Regions from separate parts of the Mus musculus genome. Here region 2 is reported to be linked to region 1. The links are microRNA targets in miRTarBase. Many come from high-throughput screens and were not tested one by one. Region 1 holds a microRNA gene; the other region holds the end of a gene's coding sequence. Distances are from middle to middle.

What was found. The annotated mature microRNA mmu-miR-1199-5p reads UCUGAGUCCCGGUCGCGCGG and lies in region 1 at 1,300-1,319, opposite strand. An mRNA with a match to its seed (bases 2 to 7 or 8) in the 3' UTR can be bound and repressed. Matches are read on the target gene's strand: a 7mer-m8 pairs with bases 2 to 8, a 7mer-A1 pairs with bases 2 to 7 and ends in A, and an 8mer does both.
Region 2: the mRNA of Cyld is a reported target of mmu-miR-1199-5p. The part of its 3' UTR that is shown has no 7-base or 8-base seed match.

Annotation. Positions count from the first base shown.
Region 1 is chr8:84,010,295-84,013,375 of GRCm38, forward strand. It overlaps Mir1199 (microRNA 1199), which reads right to left and starts at 1,339; the gene lies at 1,221-1,339. Misp3 (MISP family member 3) reads right to left here and starts at 1,426. Exons shown (of 3, transcript NM_001291292.1): 1 at 847-1,426; 2 at 417-478; 3 at 1-198. The coding sequence starts at 1,390. The coding sequence ends at 184.
Region 2 is chr8:88,746,463-88,749,543 of GRCm38, reverse strand. Cyld (CYLD lysine 63 deubiquitinase) reads right to left here. Exons shown (of 17, transcript NM_173369.3): 17 at 1-2,715. The coding sequence ends at 2,531. Among named protein-coding and RNA genes, the nearest start is that of Cyld, 51 kb to the right of the region's middle.

The DNA.
Region 1 (3,081 bases):
GAATTTTATGGAGAAAGGTGGTTAATTCCATAGTCAGTATCAAAGATGGGCTGGATTTCAAGTTGCCATTAAAGAAAGCTAGCCCTTCCCTCTCTAGGCCTTCTGCTGATCTGGAGAGTAACCCTACCCTGGTTCTCCAAAGGGTATGTTACTTCTGTCCGCAGGTCCCAACCTTCATAGACCTCAGGGTCTGCGCTCCTAGAAGGAAAAGGGGAAGAGAAAGAACACCCTCAGGGAGAAGTTTGGCCTCTAGGCCTCCACCTCCTCTTCACTCTCTGGATCGCGTCTAGGACTTTTGAGTTTGGGTTAGAGTGGCGCTCCAGGGGACCAAGAGGCACCTTCTCCCTCCACCCCAGTGCCCAGGTGCTGCAGGGAGGGCTGGGAGACCGACAAGCATCGGAAAGGGAGTCTCCCACCTTCTCAGAGGCCCGTCTCCGCGGAGGCCAGATCACCGACAATTTTCCATCTCCCCTGCTCGCTGTGGGGGAAGGAACACTCAGCCGCGACTGCCCCTCCTCTTGCCAGCTGGAGGATGGCCGCACCCCTTATATACATACAGGTGTGCACCCCTCTTCCCCATGAAGGCCTCCACCCAGTTCTGAGGACCCAGGAACAGGAATGAGGCAAACTCAATGTAGAGAGGCACCCGAGTACTACAGAGGACCCGAGAACGCCAGAAGTCAAGGTTCCAAGGTCTGATGGATGTGGGGATCCTCACTCCAGGAGTGGGAGTGAAGAAAAGAAGGTGAACCCCCAGGAGAATAGTTAAGGGTCTGCAAGCCTACAGATGAATGATCACTGGAGGTGGAGACAGCTGGAGCTCTAGGGCCCAGGGGGACCGCTTACGGGTGAGGCTCGGCGCTGGCTCCTGGACCTCGGCGTCGCCGTAGATGCTGCGCCGCTGCAACTGCAGCTCCCGCTCGCGCTCGCGCACTCGTCGCACCTCCTGCTCCAGCAGTGACGGGGCAACGAGCGGTGGCAACTGCCCCAGTACCGGACAGCCGTCCTGAACGGCGGGGTGCAGCCGGCCTCCGGTCTCTGGCTGCCTCTGCAAGCCAGCGCCGTCCTCCGCCGCAGCCTCAAAGAAGCGCTTGAGTTCGTCCAGCGGCTGCGGCCGCCGCCGGGCGCTAGGCTCCGGAACCGCGGGGCTCGCCAGCGCCGCCTGCCTGTGAGCCTCGCGTTCGATGTCCCGTTGCATCTTCGCGCCCGCCCGAGCGCGCTCCAGGGCGCGCGGCAGCGGAGTACCGGAGCCGGGCCGACTGAGCACCGGCCGCACGCGCAACTCAATGAGTTCCTCGCCCGCGCGACCGGGACTCAGACCCCGGCTCCGGCGCAGGCTTTCCTCCCGCTCGCAGCTGCGGCGGATTTCGCGCTGGATGGGCGTCTCCATCTGCAATTCCGCCGGCGCCGGTTTGGATGCCGCGGGCTTCGGTAGAAAACACACCTGGAGGCCTCTGAGCCGAGACAGGGGCACAACTGCCCCAGTACCTCCGTTATACTAGTGCCAGGCGGCCCAGCTGTGGACCGCCCGGGCGCTCGGTCCGGTGCTCAACTGGCACCTGCGGGACCTGGCTCTCTGGCTCCAGAGTCTGCAAGTGCTCCTCTCCAGAGGTTTCCAGGACCTCACTGCCTCCCCCAGCAGCCCTCGGTGCCCTGGCTCTGCGGCTCCCGGAACACGTAGCCTTCAGGCGACCCCAGGACTCCACTCTCGGACACCCGAGGACATGGATGTTTGGAGTTAGGCGCCCTTTGAAAATTTTAGTTCTCAGAGCCGAATTGAGATGCCCAAATAGGTAGGACACGGTGCCCTGTGCAGTACCTGTAGTTACAGCCGCCGCCCGAGGTTCATAGGCGTCGCCAGCACTCTTCTTTGACCCGCCTCTGGCCTCCAGGAACATCCCCTGGGGGCAGGACTGGGCACCGCCCCCGTCACCTGCCAGCTGGATTCGAGTGGCCCTGGACCCGCCCTATGGGCCAGGGCGCCTCCACTGCTCTCCGGATTCCCGCCACCTGAACACACGGGTTGACTGAAGGGGTGGCTTCTTCGGAAAGGGCTTCCCTGAACTCACTACCCAGGGGGTATGTGTCGCCCTTTCCCTCTGGTACCACGCTGGCATTCTGGGGTCTTTTTTTTTTTTTTTTTTTTTTTTCATCACTTTCCGGAGACCTGACCTCTAGCGGAGCGCCGCGCTGATCGCTGAACCACGGCCTCCTTACAGAGTGTTTCCCCGGTCGTCTTTCGCTGACCTCACTAGTCTAGGTCAGCAAGTGCCAGCCTGCGGCCAGCGACACCACTCTCCTTCCCCCCGCCCCCTATCCCGTGATCTCCGGGCCTTCTCTGCACACTGATCGCTGAGGCAACACAGCTCGAGTCCAGCCCGAGGGTCGCCCGGGGCCGCCGCACTGGGTGCTGCTGCTACCCGGGGCTGCTCAGCTCTGTCTGGTTTGCAGCGGCGCTGCCGCCACTCAAAACCCTGGGGCAGATTCCCCACCCCCACCTTCCAGAAAAGCCCGCAAGGCATTGGCAGCCAAGTGTCCAGCTAGAATGAGCGGTGTTTGAGGGCACAGACATTACAGGACTTCCGGGCCTCAGCCGAGCAATTGTGGCTGGAAGGCGGTCAGCTTGGACCAGTTTGCCCAGGAGGCCCAAGATGGGGCAGAGGAGCCACCGGGTTAGCGGGAGGCAGTAGCGACCTTTGTCTGGTGCCCGATCTGTGTTTCGGGACAGGGTCGATGACCCAGAGTGAGGGCTAACCACTCGTAGAGACATTTCCACTCGCCCTTGTGGAACCCGGCTTTCACAAAAACCGGCCCACCCTGTGTTCTATAGTAACCTAGAAGAAAGAATTGCCTAAAGAAAATGGAAAGATTAAATGGGATTAAGAGAGTGGTGGCACACTCCTTTAATCCCAGCACTCAGGAGGCAGAGGTAGAGGTGTCTCAGGCCAGCCCCTATTCTCCGTAATGAGTTCCAGGACACCTGCATTTCCAGATCTTGCTTCACCAAAAAAGTAAATGGAAATAGAGGGCTACACAATCCCAACTACTTGGTCACCCTTTTCAGTCTGTCCTCTCTTACAA
Region 2 (3,081 bases), 4.7 Mb from region 1:
TCTCCCTTGTTCATCCTCCTGACTCTCCATACATATATACAGATTTGCCTCACAGTAGAGAAATAGAATTCTTATATTTCCTATTTGTAGCTATGGCTCCTAAACCATGTTGTGAGTAAAACAATCCTACTACACTACCATCTTGATAAGGAGAAGGACACTCAAAATATTTTAAAAGGCAATGGGAAAACCGTACAGAAAACCTAAGATTACAAAATTAAAGTAATCCACAGGCACGAGGGCTATCTGCACCACACAGTCCAACCCTATTGCCCCAGGGGCAAACCAGGCTCTGCTGGGACAAGGAATGAGGAGGGGCTGTCCAGAGGGACAAGAAGGCATGGGAGAGAGCTCCCGCTGGCCTGTGCTTCTCAGGCCTCCCCAGCCACTGCAAGTGGGTGTTCCGCTGTGTGCCCCTACCCAGCCACTACTGCTAAAGAACACAGTGCAATTTCGAGACGATCTTGCTTAGGGATTGCCTGTGGACATGGTCCTCCTCACTCACAAAGTGCCACCCCAACTTCAGAACCACTGCAAACAAGCTTTGAGTCCTCTGCTCTGAAAGCCAAGTAGCTAGTCTCTTTGCACATGGATTTTGCTTCCATTTCTGAAATTAAAAAAAAAAAAAGCTTTCCCTCAGCCCCCTCCCCTTCACTGTTAAGCCAGGCTTGCCTATAAACAAAGACCTCACCATTCCTTAGTTAAACCTTTCAAAATCACACTACCACACTAACAGACTCATTAAATACATACTTATTACAGGGTGACTGAATTCTGGTCAGTGTGCAAGCTCAGACTCACCTGTGCTCACCGTTCTCACCTGTCCCAGGATGATGAAGACAAGGCTAGCCTATAGCTGGAGGACTTTACTGCTATCTACTCATGGCCTCTCCACCCAGTCTAGGCACTCAGCTATATAAAAGTCTGTGCACAGTATACACACTTTTCCATTGCAAAAGTACAAAGATTACAAGATGGACGAGTTTTGTGTGTTGTGATTTATATAAAGCTAATACACGCCAGCAAAATGGAATAATAAAACCAAGGAGTAAAGTGCCTTTAAAAATAACAGCAATATTTATAGACTCTTTTGACATTAAATCTTTTATAAAGCCATATGTTACACATATAACACCTTCTCTTTCTGTAAGGTTGACATTATTCAGAGAGACAGCCATACCACAAAACAACACTCAGACAACAAGCACTCTACAGCATCCACCACGGTCTATACACACACAAGCAGTCCTAAGATGACATCCATTTTCTCCTTTGAAACCATCACTGACATTGCAGTAACATGCTGACGTGGTTGTCATTGTTTCAAGTGACACCAAACTGACACCAGAGAGTACAAGGGTCTTCAGTCAAACAAAAATATTAGTCTTATTTAAATTAAGAGAAATTCACTTAAACTAAAAATAAAATAATTTATTTACGATGAGATTTTTAAACACCTAACACATTTTTTCAGGGAAATGTTGGTGCTAACTCTGAGCCAGCTTCACTTTCTCTGGACTGTGGGTCTGTATAAGAATATATAATTTGGGGCTAGAGAGATAGCTCAGCAGTTAAGAGCACTGACTGCCCTTCCAAAGGTCCTGAGTTCAATTCCCAGCAACCACATGGTGGCTCACAACCATCTGTAATAAGATCTGATGCCCTCTTCTGGTGTGTCTGAAGACAGCTACAGTGTACTCATATAAATAAAATAAATCTTTTAAAAAAAGAATATATAATTTACTTATCGCTCAGTCATTTCAGAAACCACTGCATGTTGTCTCATACTTAGGAGCCCCTACAGAAGACCTGTTCAGTAACAGTTGTTACTATGACTACGATACTTGTTTTGTACCCTAATTCTTCAAGAACAAATCAAAAATGGACATTTTATGACAGAGTCACTCATTTATCTCAAAACTAGAACAAATAAAAAATAACACCATGAAAGGAATTTCAGCATGTTCTGACCACTGCTGCAGGAACACAGAAACTCAGCAAAGTACAGACATGCAGGAAATCAGCACTATATAGGAAAATTAACAATTAAACTCAGCACACCTTCAACAATTGGAGTAAAGGCAGACTCTTAATAAAATCATATTATGTCTTTCTCAAGGCAATCATTAGCTACAAAAGGAAAATGATTTCATATCCCTGGTCCATAAGAAGAAATATTTATTTACATCCTCAATGGACTAAAAGAGGTTTTAGACGTCACAATTAAAATTGTATGCTTCCAAAAATATCGTATCATCAATGCAGTTAACTTAAAGTGTCAGATATTAATAAATCCATTTAGACTTCTTAAAAAATCAACACAAACATACTTCCTAGAGTGCAAAATGCTTCTTATTAAATACTTCAGGAACACAAAAGCAATTTGTTTGGAAACACAGGAATCCTTTGCTGAAGGGCCATCATCAAAAGAGACACCCATTGCCGGCAATGGGTGCCGGACAGAACCACAAGCTGGAGGAAGACACAGCACTAAGGTTTGTGCTGTCTCTGCCCACTGCGGATAACCTGGTTATTTGTACAGGCTCATGGTTGGACTCTGGTACATGCACATGTATGCATCGCAAAGAAGTCTGCGCGCACAGCCTTGAATCCTTCTGGAATCCAAAGAGTGCAGGTCCTCCAGAGACATCTTCAAGTACTCTCCCACTTCTGGGCAGGGCGTCACTTGTGGAATGTTGAAGCCATTCTGACCACCTAGAGAAAGGGGCAGTGAAATCTATTTAGGGAAGTGAATGTCTAAGTCCTTCTGGCATCCTGTCCTACCTGAACAATTCTACTATCCTAGAATTTAATGAGTACTGACTCTGAGAATTGGAAGAAAACCTTTGTTTGACTTCCAGTTTCTAGAATTATAGTCTCCTTGGCTTCTGAGAGGGTTCCACAGGCAAAGGTGAATAAAACTGGTGAAAGAACACATATTTAAGATAGGCCTGATTTGCAGGCTGCTACCCACTGTGTGCACAGTCTTGATTCCTCATACCTGCAAGTCCCTCCCATACACTAACAGCCTGACATTCTTTTCCACAAAAATTTTGCTCAGTTTTTGAAACACCTAGTAAT